Ovis aries: one gene and its partners. The protein of the gene in region 4 binds, or shares a complex with, the protein of the main gene of each other region. Links are inferred from orthologs where the notes say so. Each region holds a gene or a part of one and is shown on either strand. Other genes may lie near its edges.

Region 1 (7,222 bases), on a different chromosome or scaffold from region 4:
GAAAATCCTGGGCTAACCTATTAAAACTGGGGAAAAACAATGTGAAGGATACTATAAAAATGTGAATCATTTAAAAAATGGACTTAATATCTATCTACCTTTGTGAATTTTATTTGATGTTTTATTGTGCTCTGAAATTCTTAGAAACAATGATCTGACTGTGATATGCAGAAATAATCAATGAAAAAGTGGCATTTCATTTCTATTTAATAGCTACATAACCTATGTAGGAAACAAAATCTTTGTAGAAAAATACAAGGGGTAAGATGACTTTTTCCCTGTCTTTTTAAAGAAGTACATGTGTGTGTATGTGTGTCTGGCTCCAGGGAATGATCCAAGACCTGCACAAATCTCTCTTTTCCTTCAAATAAGATTCAGTAGACCTGCATACTTTTTAACGAGGTTATGCAATCCCCTGACCCTATTTTGCCAGCTGTCAGCAGCTGGAGGCCCACATTACTCACACCAGCCCAGCATCTCTCAGTAGGTTAGTTTGAGAGTAGCAACTGGCGAGTCCAGCTTGTCATGTTAGAAATGCTAATGTTTTCCTTACCTCTTCCTTCTCTGCACTTTGCAGATCACGCCACTCCTCAGTTACGTGACCAAAATCCACCGTGTTCATGGGGACTTTAAATTCCCCGATGATGTCATGCTTAGAGAAGCGATCAAAGTCATAGACAGCCATCACCAGAGTTTTGCCACCCAATTCCGAATATGGCACCTAGATAAAAAAGACCAGGATAAAATATCTGGTGACCAAAAAATGCTTAAAATATGTTACTTTTTCATAGTGTTTAATTTTAATATTTATGTTGGATAAACAGAACAGGGAGAAAAGTAGCACTTTTTTTCCCCCTTAAATTGCATCATTTGACTAACTACTTGGGGCTTAAGTTACTTGGGTGAAAGTGAGGGCTTACCATAGTGATTTATCACTTTCTCCCAAAGTTCTAGAAGCTGTTAGTGTTATTAATAATGGCTCCTGCTATTAGTCATGCTAGAAATACTTCAAGAGTAAAACAGGAGTAAACCAAGCTGATTGCACTTGACTATATAAGGCACTTTTTCTTGAAGAATGTTTTGTTGTTATTGTTAAGTTATATTGTCAGGGGACAACTTACTCAGGGGTAGTTATTCCAAAAGTTCTATTAACTCTTTGAGGTCATTTGGATGCCATAGTTTAATGAAGCAGTGCTTAATGAGAAGACATGCTAGGAGTCTGTAAGGATTGCAATGAAATTCACAAGGTGCCTCCCCTATTCCTTAAAATAATTTGCTGATTGACAGGAGCTGACTAGAAAATTGATGTTTTGAATATCAGATTCATTATAATCTAGATCTTGAAGTTCATTCTTAGGAATGACACTCTTTAGGATGAGCAGAGGCAAAAGGCCAAAAACTGATGAATTCTCCAGCTGTTCAAAAATATCTGGGACAGATGCTATGGGCTGGGATGTTTATTAGTGACATTTTTAATATTCAGAGAAAGCAGGGCAATTCCACGGAAGCTACACTTCAGTAACTGGGAAGAAATGCCTAATTAAGAAATTGTTTAGACTTGTATTGAAGGTTTCATCAATTTTCAGACACTTGTTATTATTTTATCAGTGTAAATAGTTGTCTTATGCTCCAGCAAACATTTCTCAATTAATTCCGTATATTAAGAAAGAAAGGAGAAGGAAGAAGTTTTGACCGTATATATACAAGAAATTTTGCTTTTTTCCAAAGAGCTTTTGTTGTCTATCATTTGTCATCTATTAGGAATTGGGTTAAAATACTATGATTAAAAACTAGGCATAACCCATTTTCCACTTTAGAATGAAAAAGTAAACCCTTCCAAAGAGATGACTTTGAAAGAAAGAAATTAATTTTAGAGTAGGGATGAGCTCTTGAGAATTGCATCTTATTTCTGAAATTTGTCTAGATTGGTTGGTGATTATACGAAATGACAGTCAAAAACCCGAGTTGGAGGTCAGACAGGTCCAAGACTGGGTTTCCCCCTCTTCCAGCTGAAGGGCCTGGGACAAGTAAATAAACCTAGAATGATGATAATAGTGTCTATTTCTCGGGAGCTGGTTGAGGCCAAATGAATACATGTAAAGCATTTAGCACAGTGCTGGCACACAGCAGGTACTTAATAAATATTTATTGTTTGAATATAAGTAGCTCTTTCAAGTGGACGTTTATTGTGGAGAAAAGGAGCGTTTCATTTGGGGCATGTCAAGTTCATTTTCAGTGGATTTGAACTCAGTTTTAAAGCCAATCCCCTTTAAACTATTTTGCTTCATTTAAGATGCATAATCTACAAAGCCTAAAAGGAGAAACTGGCTAGTTCTCTAGAAACAGTGGTGTATTTTTTAAATGTAGGAAAATATATTGTACTTTGGCTTGATTTATGATGTGATCAACTCTCTTAAAATGAAATGGAACCTGATTAAATTTTATAGGCAATTTCAAAATCTCCCGTGATTATAATTCTTGAAGTTATAGACATTACTAGAAATTATTAGCAGTACACATTTTAAAAAAGAAATAGCATATAGATAACTCAAAACAAAGCCTCACAATATTTCAAATAATTTAAGAATGTGCTAGCTAAACAGTGGCTAGAAACTACTGACCTAAATTGAGATCCACACAGAGTCAAATAGAATGATTCTGATTACCTTTTGCAATATTTTTGTTTTGTTTGTTTTCATTGTACGTTCTGTGGCATATTGATCTCAATGATTAGTTTTTCTTAAACTGAGTAGTTTCAGAATGTTTCTAGAGCTATTCTACATTAGCTGTCTTGGTTTAGAAAAGTGTAGATTTTAAATAGGATTGCTGACAGCACAGAAGGGATTTTTCTTGTCTTACAAACTGAAATTGTAGAGTGAATAGAACGTCAGTACTCTCTTGGAAAACTAGAAGCCAGGTTCATGAGACTGACTCACACCTGAAGTTTCCTCCATTTATTTGGGATATTTGTTGACATGCAGTGTGTGCTGTCGCTAAGGCTGGCTGGTAGATGAGTGATTCTGACTCTGCCTGCTGGCATATTCACAGACATGTATCGTTTTAAGGAATGCATTAAAGAATTTCACATGTTAAAGACACCAACCAAGAGACTGTTTTTACGCATGACTTCAGGTGGAGAACTACAGAGCTTGTACATAGGAGATGCCTGAAGCCCGCCAGGCACCTTTTCCTGTTATTCTGGGGCCAGAATTCCTCTTTGTTATCGTTTGTTAATTGAGGTGTCTCAACAAGATGAAGAACACCAGGAAGAGCCAAGAGGAAAGGAAAAATGCTAGAGCTGGAAAAAAAAAATAATTGGCTTGTATTCTTTTTATTTATGGATTTAGAATGTTTTCAAATACTCAGATTGGCCCTGTACACAAAGAATTTTGCAATGAGAGTAATACCTATTTGTATCATTTGAAATAATGTTGGATAGCTTACTTTATTCTGTGGTTGTGATTGGTTTTCAAAACTTGGAAACCTGGGAAAAGTCTGTAATTTTTTGGCTTTATTTTAGAGAGGGGGAAATGTTCAGGTCCATGGACACACTGGAAGCTGAACTCACTTTATGGACACGAATGACATCCTTGTTCTATGCCAGTCCACACTCTATTCTGAAATAGCTGAGCTGAATCCTATTTGGATCAAATTTAATGCATAGTAGAGCCCTCATTACATTGAAAATAAGAATTATGGATATTCTGAGCAGAATCACTTGTGAGTCTCTGAAAGTGGTCATGCGCATGTATCTGTATATGTCAGGATGAGACTGGTCTGTTATCTAAAACAACAGAGAAGAAGTTCAACAGTAAATACACACACAAAATATACCTTGAAAGTAAACTGCTCGTTGAAGACAGGATTAAGGGTCTTTCGGTGGACTTTTGTCTCAAATTTCTTCTTTTTATCGGGCAGCAGAAAAACCTTCACATAGGGATCAGAGGTGCCCCCCATGTCCAAGGCAGGCAGCTCGGCAGCCTGGATGATTCCTACCAGGAGCTGAAATGAGAGGCAGAAGATGGCCAACATCGGCATTGGTGAACATGTTGGAAAAGACTGATTTGTTCACAAGGCTGCACATTGTGATTGCTCTTTTCTTCTTTGCTTTTGATAAACTTCTATTCTCTTAAGAAGCTGAACACAGAAGGCAAAAGAAATGATATACCCAGACTTCAGAAACTCAATTATGATATACGCAAGCTCTAGGAAGCCTGGTTTTAAACACAAAAGAGGCTTTTTAAAAGGTTGCTGATTACATTTAAATATGGAATTCATATTTGCAAAAGGATTGCAATCAAATAACTTCCCAGTTGCTAAAAGCCCTTGTGTATTATTTTTCTTACCAGAGTGTGATTTGTAAGTGGAAATAAGTTGTTAAACAATCACAAGCCTGTAATTATAAAGCAGGAACATTTTATTTTGAACCAAAGCTTCAGACCAGCTAGATAGAAATTTCTTAGAAACTGGGTAGCTTTTTGAGATAAAAACAAGATCTTCAAGTTTCTATCACATTTGGCCTTTACTTGTATGCTAGCTACTTCTTGTTTTAACTTAGAGTAAAATAATTATTATATATTAAATTCTGTATTTAAATATAGGACATAGGGTCAAAGAAAAATAATTTCAGCTTCATCTAAAAGAGATTACAGTTATGGTTTTAATGCTAAGTGACTGTCTGATTTTATTCAAATATAGCAGAAATCTCTGCATTCTTCACATCTGATTTTCTCAGTGATACATTCCTATTTCTTATTATGAACATGAGTGTTGACTGGCATTGTTCATGTTTTTGCAAAGGAAACAGAAGGTGTGAGTGGACTGTTCTGATGCTCTGCCATCAGTCATGCTGTGTCAACAGACTGGTTTAGATTCATATGGGAAACAAAAGTAGACTCTTACTGTTATTCGAGGGATATACTATTCAGAAAATGCAGAATGTATAGCTTTCACATCTTAAAATGGGGTCTGAAATTTTGAGACTGTACTTTTTTCAACCAATAGGGTGGAAAAGCAATTCACCTCTGAAAAAAAAAGTCACAGCAACTTTTTACAAAATTGATCCATAAGTGCATAAGTGCACTTTGGCCCATTGGCTCAATTTTTAATCTAGACCAATACCCTTAAAGATTGCTATTTCCATTTTAATGTTTCAGTATCTTTTTGTGACTTCATACAACAGTAGCAATAATAATGCTGGATTGTAAGTACACAAAATGTAGACAGATGGTCAAAGGATGGCTAAAATAGACATAAGCTTATAAAGACATGATTAGTAAAGCAAACAGTTTGTCTCTTGCTTTGCCAAGTTGGTATTTGGAATTTGCTTTTGGTTAGCAATGTGAATAAGTGAGATTATATTCTCTCCTTCTCTCTTTTTGCAATACTTTTTCTTTGGGGCAGGGAAAGAACTAGTGATATAGCCTAAAGTCTTTTAAACTTGATCATCTATACTTGAAAGGTTTGGGGGCATTTTGTTGATAAGAGATGGAATTACTTCTTCCAACTCCCCTCTGGCTTCTGCTTGAGAGATAAACATCACATTTTTCTCCACCATGAAAGCTTCTTAGGGGACTTTAAGGATTGTCTTTTAGTTTTGGTAAGCAAGTGTGTATATTTGATTACAGCCTTATCTACAAAAATCCTCAGACTTTATGTTCCATGACTCACAGGAATCATTTTATAAATCAGATTAGCTAAGAACATTCAGAAAAATAAATGCAGAATATTAAATTTTATCAGGTAGAATATTATAGATGCTCAGAACGAAAGACCTCCTAAAATGTGTTTGTTAGAAAGAGAAGAATAAATACATTGCATCATGTTTGAGTAAAAAAAAAATTCAATTCTATATTTTTTTTCAGTACTATATTCTTAAAAATACTACTTTATAAAATGGTACTTATAATACTCAAAACCAATGTAGGAGTTTCAAAATTATGACTAACCAGGATGAGGTACCCCTAGATTTCTATTGAAAAATATGAAAGTAGAATTAATTAGTAGAAAAAGGTTGGATACATATATAAAAGCAGTTTGAGTGAGAATGGGTGAGTGAAAGTCGCTCAGTTGTGTCCGACTCTTTGCGACCCCATGGACTATATAGTCCATGGAATTCTCTAGGCCAGAATACTGGGGTGGGTAGCCATTCCCTTCTCCAGGGGATCTTCCCAACCCAGGGATTGAACCCAGGTCTCCCACATTGCAGGCAGATTCTTTACCAGCTGAGTCACAAGGGAAGCTGTCTGTATTTCTGCAAAAGATGTTTTGTGTTAAGATAACATTTGCTGACCTTGACCTCCCCTAGAATTTATAAATAATAGGCAGTTTTGCTCTTAACCAACCCCTGATAGTCAAATCATGGTATAAATGATAAAAATAACCTAAAATGCCATATTTACTTAAGTAGAAATAGTAGACCTATAATTCTGTACAAATTCATACTTACAAGGCTGTATCTGTAACCAACATGCGGCTTTCTGGAAAGTAAGATAAAATAACGAACTAGGACTGTAATGAAGCTAATTAAATGTAATTATTTACAATATGACCATGCATATCAATACATTCTTTGTAAGGAATCCTCTGGACACTTCAAAAAGTAAAGATGTTATCTGAACTAAATAAAGCCCAGAATTCCTGCCATTACTTAGGGCTCACAGTATTACTGACTTTGGGCATTAGTTATCAGAGCTGACTTTTGGTGTTTGATTTATTTATCATTTACTTCTCATTAAACTGGACATAATTAACACATGCTACAGTTAGGTAGTAACTGTATTTACGTCTATCAAGTTCTTTCCCACCCTGAAAGATCAGTGAACTGATCAAACCAGAAAGATTTAAAACAAACTGGAGAGATTTAAAGCTACCCTAGTTGACAAAGAACTGTGTCTTAATGATTCTTAAGAACCTGATCTCTAACTCAGCTAATTCTTATCTAATTTTTAAAATTTCTTGAACAGTTTAGAAGGTAAAGGGATATCATCATCAAAGTCATAGATCCTAGAAGGTCTTTTTAGGTAAAGAGATTTTTCTTTTTAAACATTTATCTTGGGGTACCATGAAAACAGGGAGTTAATAAAAGCTAGCTAATATTATCCCCCACTCCAGTACTCTTGCCTGGAGAATCCCAGGGGAGGAGGAGCCTGGTGGGCTGCAGTCCAGGGGGTCACTGGGAGTCGGACACGACTGAGCGACTTCACTTTCACTTTTCACTCTC
Region 2 (7,688 bases), on a different chromosome or scaffold from region 4:
ACCCCATGGACTATACAGTCCATGGAATTCTCCAGGCAAGACTACTGGAGTGGGTAGCCTTTGCCTTCTCCAGGGGATCTTCCCAACCGAGGGATCGAACTCAGGTCTCCTGCACTGCAGGTGGATTCTTTACCAGCTGAGCCACAAGGGAAGCCCTTGCCTCTTAGTAGCCCCAGCCTAAACAAGAGCATCCATACCTCTGTGTGGCCACCTCCAACAAGAGAGGCAGAACCCCCAGACTGCAAAGACATAAGGGCCGGGTTCCTCGGAAACCTTGGGTCCCTTCAGGAAAGCCTCCACTCTGAACCTGGGCAAGAGCCGCCGAATGCTGAGTCGGGGATCCTGGCAGTTGGCAGGGATCGGTGAGTCAGTGCCCAACTCACCAGCATCAGAGGTTCTGCGTGCTCTACAGGTGGGGAACGGTCTGGAAGCCATCATTCCCGACCCAGGCGCATCAAGGGCCTGGGGGACACCCACCCAGACCTTGGCCCGTCTCTGGTCAGGCAGGTCTCAGGGAAGCCAGCCTCCAGGGCTCCTGAGGGTTGCTGGTGCCCAAGGACAGTTCAAGCAGGAGCCATGCCACCATGATCTCCTGGCCGCTGTCCGGACACACAACATGGCACCCTGTTATCTCTCGCTCTTCAAGACTTCAGGCTAAACTTCTAAACACAATACCTAATGTTAATATTAATAACAGCAGCAAGCACTTAATAAGCACCCATCAGGATCGCAGCACTTTACATGCATAACCTCAGTCTCTCCTTACAACAACCCGAGAGAATATGTATCTCTCCGACTTTCATTTCACACATGAAGAAACTTGCTAACCACACGGGTATCTGAGTGGAAGGAAGTTTTTATTTTGGATGTGGGAGCGGGAGTCAGGGGGAGATGTCAGGGAGGGGAAAGCCCCGGGGAACAGAAGCACTGTCTGAAATCTCCAAGGGGCAGAGCAAGGAAGTCTGGGTGCACCGGGAGCTGGAAGGAAGGAAAAGCGCGTCTTGCTTTTTCCCCTGTCCTCTCTCCTTTTCCACACTTACACTGTGTTTGGGAAATCACCACCTTTCTGCTTCCAGGGCAGAAGTTGGGGCTGCTCTCCCATCTCCTGAGCCCTGTCTGGGAGCTAAGGGCGGGGAAGGCAGCAGGAAGGAAGGAACAGAAGCAGCTTGGATCTGAGAGCCGGCTGGTACCGCCTCCCCTCCAGGCTGCTGGTGCGCCAAAGCCCGCTAGTGTCTGGCAGCCCTGAAACAACAAAGGGCAAAGGGCTTAACATCCCAGGCAACCAGGCTGCCCTGGATCCCAGGCAGACGCGACCCTGCCTGGCCCTTTTGATCTGAGCAGAGACCTTTCAAACTGGAATGCTGCCATCACTGAGGTTCCTGAAAGGGGAAGTGGGTGCTGGAGGGATGAGCTGAGCCCTGACACTCCCTCCTGCATTCCCGGAAAGGGGGCTTGTCAAACGTGGAAGCCAAGCAACCCCAGCTCCAGAGGCCAAGTGTCAGAAGCGGTTTCTGCCCGCAAGGCACGTCCTCCTGGGCTGGCCTTTCGGGCAGACAGGCTCCGGCATGCTGGTCTCAGTCTCCGTCTGCAACCCTGCACCACTGTAAGTGCTCTTGGAGCTGAAGGCTCTGGGGTGAACACTCCTGCTCTTCTTTCTTTCAGACATTTGGGGAAAACTGCCATGTGGGTGGGAAGACGGGGAAATCAGGGGAAAGAAACTCCCTGAGACGCCTAGTTTGCCAGCATCCTCCTAAACGGAGTGCCCAAAAATGGGCCTGAGCCTCAAAGAAAAACTCTGGATGGCAGCAAGAGGGCTTTGGGATGAGACAGGCCTGGGTATGAACACCAATGCCCACTCAGTGGAAGACTGGGCACAAGGATCCACAACTCTGACCCCTACACATCCACCTCCAGAAGGGCGTTGTGAGGACCACACGAGAGGATGCACAGCAAGTGCCGGGCCCAGGCCTGAGTCAGAGTTAGAGTGAGCCCTTAATAAATGTTGTCAGATACTATTCCCGTCACTGCCTTCACTCTCCCCCACTCTAGCTGCTGGAGTCCTTTCTACACAGGAGGTCTTCAGCACTGGCCCTCCAGTGAACTGAATTCTTGTGTCCCCTGCCAAAACTTGTGTGTGGAAATCCTAAGCTCCAGGGTGATGATATGAGGAGGTGGGTGGGGCCTTTGGGAGGTGACTAGGTCATGAGGGTGGGGCCCTCGTGACTGGGATTAGTGCCCTTACAAAAGACAGCAGGACACAGTGAAACAACAGCCGTCTGGGAGGCAGCAGGCCCTCGCCAGGAACCAGACCTGTCAGCACCACAACCTTGAACTTCTTGCATCCAAAAATGTGAGAAATATGTTTCTGATGGTTATAAGGTACTGAGCTGATGGTATTTTGTTACAGCAGTCTGAACAGCCTAAAAAGGCCACGAAAATCCTCAGTGCTCTCCAGCACCTCCACAAATCCAAGCCTTTTCTCAAAAAGCCCTCTGGGATGGGGCCTGGTTCTTTAGTCTCATCCCCTTCTGCCTGTTCTACCTTTACGGGCTGACGCAGAACCCCCTGCAGTAAACCTTCAGACGCTGGCCTTCACACATCTGGGCCTTGCTCAAGCTGCCTCCTCTGTTGGGAGCTGTGCTCTCCCACCAGAGAGCACCCCCGGAACTCCTGCTCATCCTCCCAGGTGGAGGCTTCTCCCCACAGGGAGCCAGCCCTGGTCTCTCTGGATCTCAGTTCCCCATCATTTCTGGACAAACCTCCCCTCACCCTAGACCTCTGTTCAGACAATTCCCATTGCCTGGAACACCCTCTCCAGTCCCCACTCCTGTGGCATGTCCCAGGGTTCCCAGGGGCCCAGCTCATTCCTCACCAAGGAGTTCCTTAAGCTCATGCAGCTTCCTCTCAGGTCAGGAACCTCCCACCAATGATAAAATGCAGCCCTTAATCACATGTGACAATTCTGCTTTACTAGTGTGTTAGCAAGTCTTCATCTTGCCTTCCCAGCCAGGTGACAAAGTGTTTCAGGCCCTGACTTGGCTGCTCCTTCCAAGCATGGCCCAACAGTACACTAATCCCCAGGGACCAGACACCAAAAGCCACCCAGTAAAACCATGACCTGACTGAAAACTAAGCTCTTGGCCCCACCACAAAGCACTGCACTTGAGTTTCTCCCCTTGTGAAGGAAGCAGAAACACAGACACGCTCTCCCTACTCTCAGCCTCTGAAAGAAAACATTCCTCACCTAATCAATACAGTCCATCAGCCCCGGATGTTTTTCCACACTAGCGAGGTCTCAGCCAGGTTACTCAAGTTCTTGCGGTGGATAAGTAAACATTATCCACCACTTGTAACAATGAGCGGTTCCCATCTCCTCTCCGGGGAAGAACCCTCCTCCTCATTTCTTACCAACCTCCTAACACCGTCTCTCCTAAAGCCCCAGTCTTCCCCCGCAAACCCCGTCCCCAGCCTTGGCCTCTCTGCTGCCAGGTTCCATGGCCCCTCCTCACAGTTCCTCCTAACTCTCTACACACCCGCCTGTTCCCCTGCAGCTCTCCTCCCAGTTTCAAGAGCAACACAACGTTCCTCAGTCCTCCCTGGCTCTCTCTCCACCGGAGGTCTCAAGCCCCTTCCCCTAACCCTATCAAGTCCCCATGGCCCGAATTCCTTCCCCAACCCCTTTCAACTCCTTACTCATCACATCGCCTCTCCCTGCTCTGACAGCCCCCCTCCCACTTCTCCCATCAAACCCCCACCTTGATCCCCATCAGTCCCGCCCATCAAACCCCCACCTTGATCCCCATCAGTCCCGAACAGGCTCCATACCTGTTTCTTTCCCGGAAATGACACTGATGGTAGCTAACACTTTCAGAGTGATAACCACGTCCCAGGCTCAATTCTACACCCTTTACGCGTGCCCTACTTCAATACTAGTGGCAAATGCCTGAGACAGGTTTCTCTGAGACACCACTTCCCCATAATAAGGGAAGTTAAACAGCTTGCCCAAGGTCAAGAAATGGCAGAGCCTAGGCTTCTGACCTGAGCTTTTGATCCTCCTCAGCCACTAAAATTCCTCAAACGACAGTCATCAGAACAACTCTTATGAGCCAACATGAACTCATGTGAAATGTCTGCCACAAGCATTAGGTGTTGATTCTGTTTCCCAGCCCCCTTCAGCCCTAACCTGGGCATGCCAGTCTCATTCTGCTCACACTGCATGCCCCATCTTTACTCAAAGATCACACAGCAGGCCTCCGGCCCCTTAGGTTTTCTTATCTCCCTCATCTTTCATTTTTATCCCACCAGTTCCTAAACCAAGCTTCACTCCCACTTAGTTTCCAGCCTCCCAGCCCTCTTCGGCCTTCACTCCATCACCCCAGAGCTTCCTCTGTTCAGATCTCACTTGGCAGTCAGGTCTCTTTACACTAGTCACCTGTGACCTGGGCCATATTCACCTGAGACACTTCACGCAATTCAGACTGGGTCCATCAATCGTAGGATCATCTTAGCCCTGACGCCCGGGCCAGAGTTCACGTAAGTCCATCACCCCAGGTCTCGGAAAAGGGACGCCCTCAGGCATAAGTCCTCAGTCTCAGGGCCCAAGACTCCCGTCTGGGATCTTTCAAACAGGCTCTCCTTGAGCTCCAAAAGGCTTCCTAGCCTGGCTTCCCTCCAGGCTCCCTCGGTCCCCGCAGGCCACATTCCCTTCAAGGCCTGAGGCCGTATTCCCCTGGCCCTTTGGCCCGTCTCCAGCCTGGGGCCCCTTCCTGCCTCCAGATGGTTTCGCCTCGGCCCGGGTGTCCTCAGCCCACGGCCCTGCCACAGTCTCGGACAGTCTTTCCTCGAATCACGCTGTCAGTGCCACAGTCCGGCGTCCCGGCCATGGCTTGTACCCTCTGCTGCCTCAGACCATGCCCGTAAGCCCGCAAACCCCCGCGTCCTCTAGGCTCGAGCCCTTCGCCTCTACCGCCGCCCCAGAGCATGACTCCTCCGTCCTCTCAGCCGAGGTCCCGGCCGACCCCTGCGCGCGGTTCTTACCCAAAGAGGCCCGAGAAGAAAGACTGCGAGTTCTTCACTTTGCGCTCCGCCTCGGCCAGCAGCGCCATCGCCTCCGCCTCCTTCCCGGAGTTGTCCATAGCGGCCGCAAAAGTACTCAGCAAACCGCCGGAGCCCTGCCCTCGGAGAACTCAGATACGACCGGGTCGCAGGAGACAGGTCGGGGGAGCTTAGTGGGCTGCGTTGACGTCGCACCGGCGCGCGCCTCCTGCGGCCAGGAACCACGTGATTCGAGCTGGCCAACCAACGGCCTCGTAGCGCGGCGTGCGCACCGCAGACCACGCCCTCTCCAGCCGAGGCACGCCGCCCCGTGATTCACGGCCTCCAATCAGCGATCCAATTTTTAACGCATGCGCATGTATCTGTCTTAGGGTGCCTGGTGCGCTGGTTGATAACCCACGTGATTCCGCACAAGCCAATCGTAGCCCTCAGCGCCAAGGACCCGCCTCCTGGGCTTGTTCCTGCTCCACCAATCAACTTCAGCCTTTGGCTCCGTCTGACTTCCCTGCGGAATTTAGACCCTAGTCAGCTGATCCCTAATCGTCACGTGATAGCTCCATGCCGGAAGACTGGGTTTGACAGCTCTTTTGCGCAGAGCTTAGTCCCCGCCTCCTCTCATTACCTCCTGAAGGTCTCTTTCACTTGGAAAGGCGTCCGTGGGTAAGAAGGAAAGCGGTCTCCGTTTTGTTGCGCCCTCTGTCGACCTATGCTGAAATTGGTTTGGGAAGACCAGAGAAGGCTGCATATCTCATTTTATTGTGCTTTGCTTTCTTGCCCTTCCAAGATACACTTTAAAAAAAAACAAATTGAAGGTTTGTGGCAATCCTGCATTAAGCAGTTCTCTCAGAGCTGTGCGGTTTCCCAAACAGCATTGGCTCATTTAGTGTCTCAATGCCACGTTTAATAATTCTCACAATATTTTAAAGTTTTTTGTTACTCTTGTTAGGATGACCTGTGATTGGTGACCTTTGATGTTATTATTAAGACTGGCTCAGATAATGATTAGCATTTTTTTGCAATAAAATATTTTTAAATTATACATTTCTAAAATAATGCTGCTGCACCCTTAATAGACTGAAGTAGTCTTTCCTGGTGAGTTACTTGGACAGAGGAGCCTGCCCGGCTAAAGTTCATGGGGGTCTCAAAGAGTCGGATGCAACTGAGCGACTGACACACATACACACATAGTGTAAACATAACTTACATGCACTGGGAAACAAAGGGAAAGTCATGTGTCTGGCTTTATTTATGAACTGAACCTGCAATGTCTTAGAGGTATGCAGAGGGGAGCAGAGGTTGTCTAACGCTGGTTTCATTTAAAAAAAAAAAAAGCTAGTGAAACTGTTAAAAATTTAGGTTCAATTATATCTAGCGCCCAGATCTTAGTTTTTAATACTCTTTGTTCTCCAACAAAAGGAACGAGAGCTCCTTGGATAAAAGGCTGGTTCTAGGACACTGCACAGGATGAGCCTGGAAGGTCTTGTAGTTCCAGAAGGTAAGTCTCCTGGCCTCCATCTCTTTGTTTCTCTGCCTCCACCCTCCCACACACACCCCCACACCCCCACACACACCATGAATCTCCTTCTCCCTCCCTCCCTCTCTCTTTCTCTCTCTCTCTCTCTCACACACACACACACACACACACACACACACACACACACGATGAGGTATATCAAAGAGACAAGAGCCAACCGAAAGAGCTCCCAATGTCAAAGATGGAACAATCTGAGCAACAAGCAGCCCTGGATTATAACCCAGTCTATAAAATCTCCATGAGCTCAGAGTTCCCAATAGTCAAAGCTGCAACAATTTGAACAACAAAGTAGCACCTGATTATAACCCAGTCTATAAAATCTCCATGAGCTCATGCTGATATAAATGACTGAAAAATAAATGGTGGAGAATAAACAAATATTCTGTGCATAATTCCAAATAATTTATGTGGATATTCCATTCTCAAGATGGAACATGACTCCACTCCTTCATGTAGACTGTGCACAGACTTTCATCTGCAGAGGACGGTGTTGGGGGCGGAGGCGCTACATTTACAGTGTAGAAGCCTGACAAACGTTGTCAACCAGGTGACGGAGGTTAACAGTGACAGCTCACACTGATGCTATGTACTCTTAATAACGTGTGATGACAGTGGCGCTTCACCTCTGCTGTCTCCCTCACTCTCTGATCAGGAGAAAAGCATCAGACTAACTCTAGTTGAGGCACACTCTCCAAAATACCTGACTACAACTCCTCATAACTGTCATCAAAACAAAGCAAGTCTGAGAAGCTGTCACAACCGAGAGGAACCTAAATGTGGTGTCCTGTCTAGGGAGCATCCTTGCACAGAAGAGGGACCTTGGGTAAAAACTAATGAAATCTGAATAAAGAATAGACTTTAGTTAATAAAAATATAGCAATACTGGCTCATTAACTGTAACAAACATGCCATACACTAATGTCAGATAAATGTAAGCGAGGACTCCTCTGCTGGTCCAGTGGTTAAGAACCTGCCTGCCAGTGAAGGGACCCGAGTTCAATCCCTGGTCTGGGAAAATTCCACATGCTGAGAGGCAACAAAGCCCTTGTATTGCAACTAAAGAAAGCCGTTGCAGCAATGAAGACCCAGCACAGCCAAA
Region 3 (7,222 bases), on a different chromosome or scaffold from region 4:
TTCATCTGGCTGTGGATGAAGGGGAAAAAATGTGAGAACAAATGTGTGTCCAAAAAAAAGAAAGATATATATATGACACTGTGCAGTTACCATCCCCTGCCTCCATTAGCTTACCTCATTGTCTCATAACATTTGGTAATTGTATGGCATTGAAAAGCATCTTCAAATTTGTCTGCTCCAGACAACTTCAAACTGTTTCTTTAAATAGTGGGACCAACTTTCTGAAGGAAATCTAATTCGAAAGCTCAAACAAATGGAAGAGATAAACACAGATATACTCTGAATGAAATAGCTCTCAGCATTACTCCCGCTATAGCACTCCAGTGAGTGGCCCCAAGATGGTCTCTGAGGAACCTCTGGGGTGCCATAAAGCACAATTTGACAATGACCAACTTAGCCCAACACCTTCTCCTTTACAGATGAGGAAATTGCATCCCAGAGAGGCAGAACTCAAGGTCAACATCCCGATTTCTCCATCCGACGTTGGGGACTTTTTAGGGGAACAAGATGGCAGCTCAGTTGTTGGTGTCTTATCCCAACTTCTGAGAAGTCAGAGGCAAAAAAGATAGAATCATGTGTGCAACTTGGTACCTACCAGTGATCGAGGCCCTGCTGGTGTGAGAAAGGCAACGGAACAGAGCAGGGGGAGACTGGACTGTTCAAGAAGGCCCCCATGGCTCTGCTTGGCAGTAACAGCAGTGAGGTCTGAATAAGAACAGGGACTTGAAGGACTTCCCTAGTGGTCCAGAGGTTAAGACGCTATGATTCCACTGCAGGGATGCACAGGCCCATGCCTGGTCAGGGAACTAAGATTTTTTATTTACTTAAATGTAGGAAAAAAAAAACAAAAACAAAAACAGGGACTCAAAAACCAGACTGCCAGACTGCCTGGATCTGAGTTCAGGCTTTCCCTACCCACCTCCCTGCTGTGTGACCTGAGTACCTCACTTCACCTCTCTGCGCTTCACTTTTCTCATTTGGAAAATGAGGAAAAGAATAGTCTTCAGCTTGCAGTGCTGCTGGAAGGATTTGTTGAGGAAATCCACGTGGAGTGCCCACCTCTGTGCCTGGCATACTGTAAGTGCTCAGTAGACACTGGCTGCTGGTGTACTGAGACTGAGCACCGGGAGCCCCTGGATCTGGTTACCTCGCATCATTGCGTCATCCTATAAAAGCCATTTCTAGGGAAAATGTGGGGAGGGCCGGGGCAGAGGAGGAGGAGGAGCGTGTGCTGCCTTTGCTTTTTCACATGCTGCCTCCCTAAGCAGCCCTGTCAGATCAGGGTCGCAGTAAGCTCTAGCGCCCACAAGCTGCTTTGGCTCCTCCGTGGGCTCCCCTGTTGAATGGAACACAAAAAGAGAAGCTGCTATTTACAAGACAGCGACTAGAGCACTTTGAGTGGATGGCGGGACCGAGGAGAGATGGCCGTGGGGAGAGTTGGCATCAGGTGGCTGCCAGCAGGGCTGGCCAGGGACCTCCTGGACCCTGTGATGCCTAAGTGCCATCCCAAGGGTTCTCATGCTTCTGGTGTCCACAGCTGAGAGCCAGCACGTGGAAGGGTGGGCAGGGTCCAACTTCATCTGAGTCCACTGGCGGTGGCTGGAACGGAAACAGTAAGGTTTTGTTTGAGGGAAAAAGCAGATGACTTCAGGCTGCTGTGTGCATACTAAGTCGCTTCAGTCATGCCCGACTCTTTGCGACCCCATAGACTATAGCCCTCCAGGCTCCTCTGTCCATGGGATTCTCCAGGCAAGAATACTGGAGTGGGTTGCCATTTCCTTCTCCAGGGGATTTTCCCGACCCAGGGATCGAATCTGTGTCTCTTACATCTCCTGCAGGGATGGCAGGTGGGTTACCACTAACGCCACCTGGGAAGCCCCTCAGGCTGGTAGGAAGTGTCAAAAACAACGCACTTGAGATCAAAGCAGGATGCCCCCACAGGTAGAGTCATCATGTGCAGCCTTGTGCTATTCAGAGTGTGTCCTGGGACCAGTAGCATAGTGTGGAATCACTTGGGAGTTGTAGAAACACAGCACCTCAGGCCTCACCCCAGACCTGATGCCTTGGAATCTGCATTTTAACAAGATACCAGTGTGACTGGTATGCACATTAAGTTTGAGAAGGGTTAGCGTAACACATGGGCTTCCCTGGTGACTCAAAATGTCAAGAATCTGCCTACAGTGCAGGAGATCTGGGTTCAGTCCCTGGCTCAGGAAGATCCCCTGGAGAAAGGAGTGGCAACCCACTCCAACATTCTTGCCTGGAGAATTTCACAGACAGAGGAGCCTGGCGGGCTACAGTCCATAGGGTTGCAAAGAGTCAGACACGACTGAGCGACTAACAGACACACACACGCACACACACACAGTGTAGCACATAAGATACGTGGGTTTCAGTTTTAGCTTTGCTGCTTCCTAGCTGTGTGACCTTGGGCAAGTAATTTAACTTTAAAGAAAGTGCCTCACTTTCTTTACCTGCAAAATGGCTTATTAATAGTACCTCCTAGGGTTGGATGGCAAAGCGCTTCATACCATGCCAGGCATATAATAAGCACTATGTATTCATTAAGTATAAGATGCTATTATATGTCACTGGACATTGAATTCAGCTTGCTTTTGCTGAATACATATTTGGGGGGTGGGCTGCATTCATTCATTCATTCATTTGACCATCATGTGTGAACACTCACTGTGGCCCAGGCACTGTTCTGGCCCTGAAGACAAGATCCCTGACCCAGGGGAGTTCATAGTCTAGAGATGGACTCACAGTTACCTAATTACTTAATGTGGACAATCCCACAATTACTTATACATGAGACAAGTGCTATGCAGAACGGTTGCAATTAGAGTAAATAAAATGGGTAGTCAGAGAAGTTTTCTAAGGGGCAGGGATATTGGAATATGAAATATATATGGAATATGAAGGATAAGGGGAATCTAGACAGGAAAATTGTGTGTGTGTGTGCGAGAGAGAGAGAAAGATCACAAAGATGTGCAATGGGCAAAGGCATGTTTCAGGCACAAGGAACAAAATGTACAGAAACACTGAGGCAGTTAGGAAAACTAGAACTCAAAAAGACCAGGGTAACCAGAGCAGTGGTTCTTAAACTTTTGCCAGAATCCCCTGGAGGGGTTGCTAAAGCAGATTGCCAGGCCCTACCCACAGACTCTCTGATTAGGTTATTCTGGAGTGGGGCCCAAGAATTTTCATTTCCGACAAATTTTCAGGAGACACTGATGCTGATGGTCTGGTTATCAGACTTAAAGAACCACTGAACTATAATACTGAAATAAAACTAAGAGGGAGAAGAAGTTTAGGGTTTTATCCAGGGCCAGACCACATGGGATCACAGAAACCTTGTGGAATGGGAACCAGCTAAAGGTTTTAGGGGGAAGAGGGAGTGCCATGATCAGATTTATGTTTTAGGAATCTCTCCATGGCTGTGGTGGGGAGAACAGACGATAGAAGGGGATGAATGAAGACACAGGGACTGAGAGGTTCCTGCGGTTCCTGCAGTCACCTGGAGGAGAGATGTCTGTGGCTTGGCTGAGGTGAAGACAGAGAAGTGGGTGGATTCTGGAAATGGTGTGGAGTTAGACACAATAGGACTTGGTAGGGTCACTGAATGTCAGGAGAGTAGGGGCTCAGGAAGACCCTCTAGGTTTCTGATTGGAGCAAGTTAGTGGGTAGCGCTACTGCTCCCTGAGAATGGGAGCAGATTTACTGGGGGTGGAATGAAGAGCAGCCAGGATGAAGAGTTGAGCTGAAAGTGCAAGTTTGAGACCCAAGTGGAGACATCATGTAGACAATTAGATAAAAAGATCTGGAGTTCAGAAGACTGTCTCTGGAGGAGGTGACAGGAGGAAAGATTAAAGTTCTTAATCTGAAGTTAGTAGAATAGACAGGCTTTGGGGTACAGGGAAGGGGTTCCATGATGTTCTGAAATATATCAGAATGTATGTACCATTTTTCTGGGGAGTGGCCCAATTAGTCATCATCAGATACTCAAGAATATGTGCCCCAAAGAAGGTTAAGGCCATCAGCCAGATATTGAGGGAGCTGCTGGTGGCCCCTGGTCCTGTAAGGCCCATATAACGCTGACTCTGCTTCCAGGCGCCTGGTGGACCGCCTAGAGAACATGAGGAAGAATGTGGCCGGGGACGGGGTGAACCGCTGTATCCTGTGTGGAGAGCAGCTGGGGATGCTGGGCTCCGCCTGTGTGGTGTGCGAGGACTGTAAGAAGGTACCATCTCCTTCCCCTTCCCTGCTTCCCTGCGCATCCCATGCAGAGGGCCTAAGCCTGGGGTCCAGCCTTTTGGGGGCCTTGGGTCTTAGGGATGGAGCTTGGATCGATTCCTTCTAGCATGCTCTTGTGCCTGTTCATGGTTCCTCCCCTAGATGTCATGCTGACCCTTCTGTCCCCTTGGAGCTCTGCTCCATACAGGATGAACTTGGGAGAATGAGGCAGAACATGAACTATGGTTGAACCTACAGGTATTCTGGCTTAGCAAGATATTGGTCATCCTAAAGAGGATACTGGGGGACTTCCTGGTAGTCTAGTGGTTAAGACTCCATGATTCCACCACAGGAGGGTGCAGGTTCAATCCCTGGTTGGGGAACTAAGATCCCACATGGCAAAAAAAAAAAAAAAAAGTATGCTGGGCTTATGTCTATATACATGTGTACATGGAAAGCATACACAGCATGCTCTACCCTGGGTTATAGTACAAGCCATTTTAGAAAGCCTGTCTCTAGCCAAGTTAGGCCAAGTTAGACTTTGGTCTTCTTAAGCATTCACTCTTTTTTTTTTCCTTAAGATGTTTTGACATGTACTATTTTTAAAGTCTTTATTGAATTTGTTAAAATATTGCTTCTGTTTTATGTTTTGTTTTTTTTTGGCCATGAGACATGTGGGATCTTAGCTTCCCAACCCACACCCCCTGCATTGGAAGATGAGGTCCTAGCCACTGGACTGGCAGGAAAGCCTCAAGCATTCACTCTAGGGGCTTGTATGCTTTCCACCTTGTCTGCACTTGACCATTCCAGGACAGAAACACAACTGTCCTTGGGTCTGTCTGATTCCCAGGAAAGGAATTCAAGGGAACAATCCAGCTGGAGAGGTCCATAATATCACCTGACTTCTCCTGCTTGGGGTCCCAGTTAGCATTTAGAATGGAGTATTGGGGAAAGGTTATCTACTCCAAAAAACCTGCCTTCTGTAGTCAACTAGATAGTGAGAATTTTGTGACCTATTTGTTTTGACTGGCAGGAAACTCAGCCAAAAGTATCCTGTTCCATCACATAGTCACAGCATCTACTCAGATAACTTCCTTCTTTGTAAGGAGTTGAACCTGTAGTCGTAGTCTAGCTTGTCTCTAATTCATTTGGGAAAGAAAGAAGAAATAAAGAAACAGATAAATAGTTGCTCTTTAAAAAATTATGTCAATGATCTCCCTGGTGTGGATGCTGAAAACTCAGGCCCCACAGAGACTCTTGGAGAATCCCTGCGTTGAGGGCTTGGGAATGATTCCAGTTCTTGTTATCAGAAATCAGGACTCAAATTAGAACTTTATTCTAACTGGCCTTGGTCATGGGAGGCAGGTGAGGAACAAGGGAGAACAGGGCTTTGTTGCCACCCTTCCCAGCCACTTCCGATTACCAGCAGCTCCGAGCCTGACATATCTTGAGTGTGCACTGGGCTGTGTTTTGTCTCCAGAATGTCTGCACCAAGTGTGGGGTGGAGACCTCCAACAACCGCCCACACCCTGTGTGGCTCTGCAAAATCTGCATCGAGCAGAGAGAGGTGAGTGGATGGGTCCCATTCGGTTCCCGGAGCCTATTGTGTCGGTGCTCTGAGGACAGGGAGCAAAGTGGAAAATTAGCATTCATCAAGACAGGAGCAATAGTGCTCAGCTGCCATGTCTTCATCTTCTACCTCTCCTCCTCCAGGTGTGGAAGCGCTCTGGAGCATGGTTCTTCAAGGGCTTCCCCAAACAGGTCCTCCCACAGCCTATGCCCATAAAGAAGAACAAGCCCCAGCAGCCAGTCAGTGAGCCTGTGCCTGCTGCCCCTGAGCAGCCCACTCCTGAGCCCAAGCACCCTGCCCGAGCTCCAACTCGAGGTAGGAAAATACAGTTGCTGCTTTCAGGACCAAGGACAGATCTTGGCTAACTGGTCTACCTGAAGGGTGTCCTGGCATCATGTCTGTGTTTCTACCCAGCTGGTGGACAGCCAGCCAGCCTCTGGGCTTTGGTCTAGAACTCCTATGTCCCTTTCACAACTCACCATGAACCCTTATCAAGAGAGTAGCACAGGGAACTCTCCAGCAATGCCAGGCTGCCAAAAGGCTTTGTTGTCATGCCTGATGGAGTGTTTAGAGGTACAGCAGAGGTGGAAGTCAAAATTAGGAACTGAGAAGGACTCCCAGCACCAAAGTACGCACTGGAGTCTGGAGGGCAGGGGATTGGAGGCTTGCTGAAAAGGCCTTATTTTCTCCTGATATTTCTTATATCAATCACCAGCAAATCTGAAACTAGACTAATTAAAAGTGAAAGATGAATAAAAAGGAAATTAGCAAAAAGAAAATTACTGCTACTATGGATATTATCACTATTATCTATTATTATTAATTATTAAAATGATAATAAAAGAGTGACAAAACAGTAAAAAGAAGAAAAAAAAGTGCCCAATCATAGCTTCTCAAGGCACCCAGTAACATGTCTGACTCTCAAAAGGCACTCAACAAATACTTTTATCCTGGCAAGGCATGAGCAATTTCTGCTCTTTGCAGAGACTCACCAAACTGTCAACATACCCTGTAGCCCTGGGTTTCCATCACTAGAGCATCTTTCTCCCTGGTTAAGCATTACTCCCTCTAAGATGAAGACTATGGCATAACTGCCAACATCTTGAACACCTGAGCCCAGGAGTACTTGAATTTGAGTTCCAGCTTTGCAGCTTACAAGTTGTGTGAGCTTGGATGAGTAATCTAACTTCTCTGAAACTCTTTCCTTATCTATAAAATGAGGTTAATAACTCATGGGGTTATTTTGAAGATTAAATGAGATGCTATAGGCATACCTCATTTTATTGCACCTCGCTTTATTGCACTTCACAGTAATTGCAGTTTTTCACACACAAAAAATGATTTGTGATCAGTGATCTTTGATGTTACCATGGCAATTGTTTTGGCATTTTTTAAGCAATGAAATATTTTTAAATT
Region 4 (7,222 bases):
TCCACAGAGACAAAAAGTAAAAGAGGCATAGTGAAATGAATGCAGGAAAAGAGAAGAGAGAACAAGCCATCTAGCACCAGAAAGGGAAATCCCTCTACATCTTCTTCATGCACCAGCTACAGGCATGAGTAGAAAGTGAAGCATTCTCATTTAAGCCAAACTACTCCAGAAGTTGACCATTCTCAAAAAAGGCACTAGCAGGACAGTAATAGCCTTCATGAGGATTTGAAACGCAGGTTCAATAGCTTCTTTGTTGGACTGAGGGACAGGATGGGAGTGGTTACAGCTGCCTACTTCAAACTATCCTGGGATGTGGTAGGGGAAAGTGGTATGGAACTGGTGTGGTCTCTGTGGGCCATATTTCACTGAGCTGCCTTGGAGAGAGACTTAAAATCCAGGCATACCTATTGTGCCCAATAGACACGTGTGCAGCATATTTTGGTGGGTGTGTTGTAACTGAGCAATCAAAGATGTTTTTATGTTCTTTGCATAGTAGAAACCACACGCTTTTTAGTCCAAGAACAGAACTTCTTTCGGTCCTGTTTTCACATTTTGTATTTTCTATTATACGACACCAGAATTTAACCTTTTTTTTTTTCTTCTTTTTTATTGGAGGACCATAGCCATCTATTAAAACTGGCACTAAGACTAATATTTGCAGATTAGGGACCAAGAAACCCTGGAGACAAATTGGAAAATTGTACAGATGGAATTCCAGCAACTCCCACATTTAATGTATAATGCCATAGCCTTCAAGCAGTCAGAATTCACTGCTCTAAAGAGCCGGGGCCACTTAGTGGGACAGGATCCAAAAATGAATTTAATAAAGGTTAGAGTATGGCTTTGTTTTTGTTATTTTCCGAATCCCCGTCTCCTCCCTCCTCACATTACCAGAAGTTATATGGACCTTGTGATGCTTTCTGCTATGTAAAATGTCCGGTGTACCATCTTTGGCAGTCAAGGGAGTGGGAAAGTTTGCGTTTCGGAACGAAGGCAAATCACTGCACCCACAATGCTGCACATAGACTCACATAACTGCGGGACATCTACCGTAGTCCCTCGAAACATGCCGGGACAGGGCGAAGCCCCCAGAGAGTGCAGGGCGCCACCAGCCACTGTGCTGTGACACATGGTTTTTAAAGCATTATTTACACACAATAGGGAACACTTCAGTCAAGCTTTGAAGCTCAGTTAGGGTCTCTTGTGTAATAAGGAATTAGTGCCAACTGGTACCTGGAATTCCCAGGGGTCGTGATTTCATCTGAGCATTAGAGTCTGTCACAGGGAGGGAGGGGGGCCTGCCTCCACCCTTTGTCCACACAGTTGGTGGATGGGGAAAATGTATCTATGAAATTCATCACAAAAGAGGTAGACATCTCACCTGGGGGCAAGTGGCCACTGAAAATGATGAACAGTTAAATCTTGACTAACTGGAATGCTTGGGAATGTTATTTTGGTGAATTATAGGACTTTCTTAACACAGTGGGCCATGGAGTTAAACTTAGTTTCAAGAGTGATGGCTGACTATCTGTTAGACCTTGAGCCACTTTCCTGCCTTAGAGTCTTAGGGCAGGGAACATGATCAAAGCATTCCTTGGTTTTGGTTTCTCTTGATATGTCTGATTGCCTTTCCTCTGCAGCTCAGCTTTCATTGCTTGGTCCGCTTGGATGTGGAACTTAGAGAATGAAGACTGAGTGAGAGAATGCAAACTGCCTAGACTGACCTTTAAGAGAAATGCTTTTAAATCCCTAATGGGATTTTTCCCTTTGTTTATTTGCCTCTTTTTGCTAAAAGTCGAAACAAACAAAAATATAAATATACTCAAAGGTTCAAGTTAGCTAGATTCCAGTTAATCAGGTTTTACTGTAGATCATTCTTTAAAAAAAAAAAACAAACTTAAATTTATTTGTAAATTGAGCCCCTCCCCTCCTAAACAGGAAGTGGGATATTTTAAATCAGCCTCAAAGTTTAAAGGATGTGAATGGTCATATAATCAGCTAGAAATGACATCGATTTCTATTCTAAAAGCTAGGATCAGGAGAGCTTTTAGAAAAAGGCTTCTGTTCAAAGGGAAGTAGGAGGGGTGAGGGGGATCGGGGAACAGGTTTAATCTTCCAAATGCATGTTGGACAATCCACTCATGCATTTTTTGTTTTCCACTGCTAGTCAAATAAGACTACCTTCCAGAACACTTATTTTCAGATTCCTTCTGTTGCAAACCTTTATAACCACATGTCACATTTCTGCTACATTCCAAAAAAGCGTTGCAGAACCTTAACAGTTGAATGTTTTGTGATGTCGTGCATGCAAAATCTACACATTTCAACATTTCGGCCAGTGTACGGGAGATCTTCCTAAAGGAAGAATTGGAGAGGGATGGGCCCAATTTGGCTAAGGCATGAGCACTTCTTGCTGAAGGACTCTTTGCCTCTGCGTTGGGTGCAGCTGCGGCATCTATGGTCTAACCGCTGACCAGATTTGGTAACTGGTGGGCAGTTGAAAGGGTGAATCTCTGTCTTACTTACTCTCTAACTTATGGAATGCTTGTTTGGGCCAAATTACCTGTAATTTTTGCTTCTGAAAAATCAAACCTTGATACATATGTGTATCTCAACTTCCAAACTTACCCCCAGTCTTTTCTAAATCTGCAATTTTGGTTTCGGGGATTTAGAGAACATAAAATTCCCTGGGTGGCGCCTCTTTCTTGAGGTTAGTCTCTGTCTTGAGGTACACTTTCTGGAAAATGTTGAAACGTTCATCAATAAAAGTTGCTGACAGTGAAGCTTTCACTGTAGTATGCCTGATTTTTAATGCATCAACAGTTTACTCCCACTAATATCATCTATGCTATGAGATGAATGCATTAGAGACGGTATTGATCTGTTCTGCATGCCACATACTCATCCTGCCTTTGCACCAGCAGGAATGAGATTGTCAAGGCTTGGAGATGGGCCTTGGGAAACCAAAGCTTCAGGCAGGCAGGCAGCACCTACTTGTTACAGGGACACACACAAAGCCCGCAGAATTTTCCTAGATCCGTCAAATTCTTTTCTGCTTCTTTCATGTCCTTATTGATTTGGTCCATCCCTTCCTCAATGCGTTCCAGTTGTTCTGATTAAACACAAGTATTTTATCCCCACAGAATGAAGCGGATGGAAAAGGACAAAGAAAAAAAAGACAAAACTTCAGACATTCACTTTGACATTAAAGAAAAAAAAAAAAAAAAGAAAGAAAGAAAACTGGACGCCACAGATTAGAGCTGGTACCCAGTACCTACTTGTTACAAGGACATATGAAAAGGCCACAGCATTTCCCTAAATCTTTTAAATTTTTCTCAGCCTCCTTCATGTCTTGGTTGATATGGTTCATGCCTTCTTCGACACGATCGAGTTGTTCTGGTTAGGACAAAGGGATGACAGTGTGGAATGAATTTTTTGGGGGTTTTCAACAGAACATGAGAAATGAAACGGAATTTGAGAAAGAGGGAGAGCTATTACAATGCATTGTCTGAGGAGATGCATTGCTAGAATCGGCTGTCGATGCCCTGTGCAGCCAGGGGTGGAAGGAAATGAACAAAAGTGATGCTCATATAGTTTATAGTTCAGACATGATGGGATGGAGTAGATAAGCCTGCTTGATTCTGAATGTCCAGGAAAACAGCACAGCATATTCACTTACTCAGACACCAGTGAAACTCAAGAGAAAGAAAATAGGGTGTTAGTTTGTTTTAGGCATTCAAATGCAATGGTGCTAGAGGAAGTGTCTGCTTCAACTTTAAAACATCTCTCTCTTTTGGTTTTTAGCACCCTCAACCAGCTAAGGATAGAAAATAATCCACTTTCTCCTTTGGGAAGAATAACAACTATAGTGATAATTAGCAATAGGTACCATATCTTTTCTTCCCCCTAGCAATGGCTGTTTAGCCAAAGGCAGGCCATAGGCAGTCTTTGGTTTTGAATATTCAATTCATAGAAGCTGTAAGAAAAGCAATATCAGCACAGCAACATTACAGGTACTGGACCATTAAATTCCTGGAGAAAGGCGATGGATTGGAACATGAAACAGTACTAAGTCATCAGTGCCAGGAAAGCTGACCTTAGACAGTATCTTAAGACATAGACTGATGGCCATAAAAACGAATCATACTTCTAGGTTGCCAGGGTTACATTCATCAACTTGATTAAGTTTTCAAAAGTGGTGTCATTAAATTGAGTAAATTACAAGTTACATGAAGTGATTTTTAAAACAGCTTTTATGACTTTTTGGCTTTTCATGTAGCTCAGTGGCAAAGAATCTGCCTGCCATTGCAGGAGATGAGGGTTCCATCTCTCGGTCGCAAGATCCCTGGAGGAGGAAATGACAATCCACTCCAGTATTCTTGCCTGAAAAATCCCATGGACAGAGGAGCCTGGTGGGTTACAGTCCATGGGGTCACACAGAGTCAAAAGCGGCATAGTGACTGGGTGCATAAGACCATTAAGGCAGCAGTGGGATGTCCTGGCTGGCTATTTACAAAACCTAATTACATTTCTATTCCTCTTTTCAACTATATTTTCATGCATGCATGCCTATGCCTCTGGGAAGAAAGATATGATTAGAATAAAACTAGTAAATATTTTCCTGTATAAAAGGGCATAAATAATTACTTAAAAACAATTTCACATTAAATTGTCATTCCAAACTGGAGAGACTGCCTGTCCATTTGGAAAATAAGAAGCTATTGTGTTGTCTTTTGTGGGGCTGAGGAACAGAATTCAGCTTATTAGGAATTTGCTGTCTCTGCTCTGGTTTTCAAGAGACAAGGGAAAACAGAATGTTTATCCAGTATGTGATACCCACAGGAAATAACAGTATAGTGCTGGCAAAACTTTGCTGAATAAATATAGGTATACTCTTATCTTTAAGAAAATTCTTGAAGGGGCTAAAAAAAATGGATGACAACTCTTTACATTCCAGATAATTCTGTACTTTTCCAAACACTTCATCCCAGTTTCCTTAAGGAATGCAATAAATTAGTCTGTAGATCAAAATAACTATCAAATGAGAGATTGGTTTGGGGAAGTGGAGCCCAGTATCTTCAAAACAAGAAGCATGTTAAGAATGACAGAATAGGGATGACAATCCCCATTTGAGGAATTGCTAAGGGCTTCCTGCAGAGTTGGTCTGAGGTGGGGTTGAAGCACATCTCTGGGTTCAGTTCAGTTCAGCCACTTAGTCATGTACGACTCTTTGCGACCCCATGGACTGCAGTACGCCAGGCTTCCCTGTCCATCACCAACTTCCAGAGCTTACTCAAACTCATGTCCATAGATTCGGTGATGCCATTCAACCATCTCATGCTCTGTTGCCCCTTTTCTTCCTGCCTTCAATCTTTCCCAGCATCAGGGTCTTTTCCAATGAGTCAGTTCTTTGCATCATGTGGCCAAAGTACTGGAGTTTCAGCTTCAGCATCAGTCCTTCCAATGAATATTCAGGATTGATTTCCTTTAGAAGGGACTGGTTGGATCTCCTTGCAGTCCAAGGGACCCTTAAGAGTCTTCTCCAACACCACAGTTCAAAAGCATCAATTCTTTGGCGTTCAACTTTCGTTACAGTCCAACTTTCACGTCCATACATGACTACTGGAAAAACCATAGCTATGACTAGATGGACCTTTGTCAGCAAAGTAATGTCACTGATTTTTAATATGCTCTGTAGGTTGGCCATAGCTTTTCTTCCAAGGAGAAAGTGTCTTTTATTTCATGGCTGCAGTCACCATCTGAGGTGATTTTGCAGCCTCCCAAAATAAAGTCTGTCACTGTTTCCATTCTTTGTCCATCTATTTGCCATGAAGTGATGGGATTGGATGCCATGATCTTCAGTTTTTCAATGCAGACTTGTAAGCCAAATTTTGCACTCTCCTCCTTCACTTTCATCAAGAGGCTCTTAGCTCTTCTTTGCTTTCTGCCATAAGGGTGGTATCATCTGCGTATCTGAGGTTACTGATATTTCTCCAGGCAATCTTGATTCCAGCTTGTGCTTGATCCAGCCTGGCATTTTGCATGATGTACTCTGCATATAAGTTGAATAAACAGGGTGATAATATATAGCCTTTACGTACTCCTTTCCTGATTTGGAACCAGTCTGTTGTTCCTATCCAGTTTAACTGTTGTTTTTGACCTGCATACAGATTTCTCAGAGGGCAGGTTAGGTGGTTTGGTACTCCCATCTCTTTCAGAATTTTCCACAGTCTGTTGTGATCCACACAATCAAAGGCTTTGGTGTAGTTAATAAAGCAGAAGTAGATGTTTTCCTGGAAGTCTCTTGCTTTTTTGTTGGTTCAGTGGATGTTGGCCAACTGATCTCTGGTTTCTCTGCCTTTTCTAAATCCAGCTTGCACATCTGAAAGTTCATGGTTCATGTACTGTCGAAGCCTGGCTTGGAGAATTTTGAGCATTAATTTGCTAGCGTGTGAGATGGGTGCAATTGTGCAGTAGTTTGAGCATTCTTTGGCACTGCCTTTCTTTGGGATTGGAATGAAAGCTGAACTTTTCCAGTCCTGTGGCCACTGCTGAGCTTCCTAGATTTGCTGGCATATTGAGTACAGTACTTTCACAGCATCATCTTTAGGATTTGAAACAGCTCAACTGGAATTCCATCACCTCCACTAGCTTTGTTCTTAGTGATACTTCCTAAGGCCCACTTGACTTCACATTCCAGGATGTCTGGCTCTAGGTGAGTGATCACACCTTCGTGGTCATCTGGGTCAAGAAGATCTTTTTTGTACAGTTCTTCTGTGTATTCTTTCCACATCTTCTTAATATCTTCTGCTTCTGTTAGGTCCCTACAATTTCTGTCCTTTATTGAGCCCATCTTTGCATGAAATGTTCCCTTTGTATCTCTAATTTTCTTGAAGAGATCTCTAGTCTTTCCCATTCAATTGTTTTCCTCTATTTCTTTGCATTGATCACTGAGGAAGGCCTTCTTATCTCTCCTTGCTATTCTTTGGAACTCTGAATTCAGATGGGTATATCTTTCCGTTTCTCCTTTGCCTTTTGCGTCTCTCCTTTTCTCAGCTATTTGTAAGGTCTTCTCACAGCCATTTTGCCTTTTTGAACTTCTTTTTCTTGGGGATGGTCTTGATCCTTGCCTCCTGCACAATATCATGAACCTCTGTCCATGTTCTTCAGGCACTCTGTCTATCAGATCTAATCCCTTGAATCTATTTGGCACTTCCACTGT

What was found.
Region 1: the proteins of SNAP25 (region 4) and SYT1 are in contact, whole or in part, in a crystal structure (PDB 5KJ8), measured with the Rattus norvegicus proteins. The link is inferred for Ovis aries from reciprocal best matches to the Homo sapiens genes SNAP25 and SYT1. Residues at the interface, in NP_112253.1 of Rattus norvegicus: Lys40, Asp41, Ile44, Leu47, Val48, Asp51, Glu52, Glu55, Gln56, Arg59; in NP_001028852.2 of Rattus norvegicus: Cys277, Arg281, Lys288, Val292, Leu294, Glu295, Asn336, Tyr338, Asn340, Arg398, Arg399, Pro400, Ala402, Trp404.
Region 2: the proteins of SNAP25 (region 4) and NAPA are in contact, whole or in part, in a cryo-EM structure (PDB 6MDM), measured with the Rattus norvegicus proteins. The link is inferred for Ovis aries from reciprocal best matches to the Homo sapiens genes SNAP25 and NAPA. Residues at the interface, in NP_112253.1 of Rattus norvegicus: Glu37, Lys40, Asp41, Ile44, Arg45, Leu47, Asp51, Glu52, Glu55, Gln56, Arg59, Glu62, Gln152, Asn159, Met163, Asp166, Glu170, Thr173; in NP_542152.1 of Rattus norvegicus: Lys122, Glu155, Glu156, Ser157, Asn158, Ser159, Ser160, Asn162, Pro196, Leu197, Leu198, Tyr200, Ser201, Lys203, Asp204, Ala234, Phe235, Ser236, Arg239, Ser268, Ile269, Ser270.
Region 3: the proteins of SNAP25 (region 4) and RPH3A are in contact, whole or in part, in a crystal structure (PDB 5LOW), measured with the Rattus norvegicus proteins. The link is inferred for Ovis aries from reciprocal best matches to the Homo sapiens genes SNAP25 and RPH3A. Residues at the interface, in NP_112253.1 of Rattus norvegicus: Glu38, Asp41, Ile44, Arg45, Leu47, Val48, Met49, Asp51, Glu52, Glu55; in NP_598202.2 of Rattus norvegicus: His617, Ser618, Ala621, Ile648, Ser649, Ala650, Lys651, Gly652, Leu655, Tyr659, Leu662, Lys663, Lys665.

Annotation. Positions count from the first base shown.
Region 1 is NC_056056.1:115,391,792-115,399,013, reverse strand, and holds part of SYT1 (synaptotagmin-1), read right to left. Parts: intron 4,003-7,222; coding exon 3,835-4,002; intron 722-3,834; coding exon 554-721; intron 1-553. UniProt on the Homo sapiens protein: Calcium sensor that participates in triggering neurotransmitter release at the synapse. May have a regulatory role in the membrane interactions during trafficking of synaptic vesicles at the active zone of the synapse.
Region 2 is NC_056067.1:54,241,992-54,249,679, forward strand, and holds the start of NAPA (alpha-soluble NSF attachment protein), read right to left. Parts: upstream 5,283-7,688; 5' UTR 5,136-5,282; coding exon 5,038-5,135; intron 1-5,037. UniProt on the Homo sapiens protein: Required for vesicular transport between the endoplasmic reticulum and the Golgi apparatus. Together with GNA12 promotes CDH5 localization to plasma membrane.
Region 3 is NC_056070.1:61,607,668-61,614,889, reverse strand, and holds part of RPH3A (rabphilin-3A), read left to right. Parts: intron 1-4,113; coding exon 4,114-4,243; intron 4,244-5,716; coding exon 5,717-5,803; intron 5,804-5,949; coding exon 5,950-6,121; intron 6,122-7,222. UniProt on the Homo sapiens protein: Plays an essential role in docking and fusion steps of regulated exocytosis.
Region 4 is NC_056066.1:3,366,807-3,374,028, reverse strand, and holds part of SNAP25 (synaptosomal-associated protein 25), read right to left. Parts: intron 3,397-7,222; coding exon 3,279-3,396; intron 3,113-3,278; coding exon of another isoform or gene 2,995-3,112; intron 1-2,994.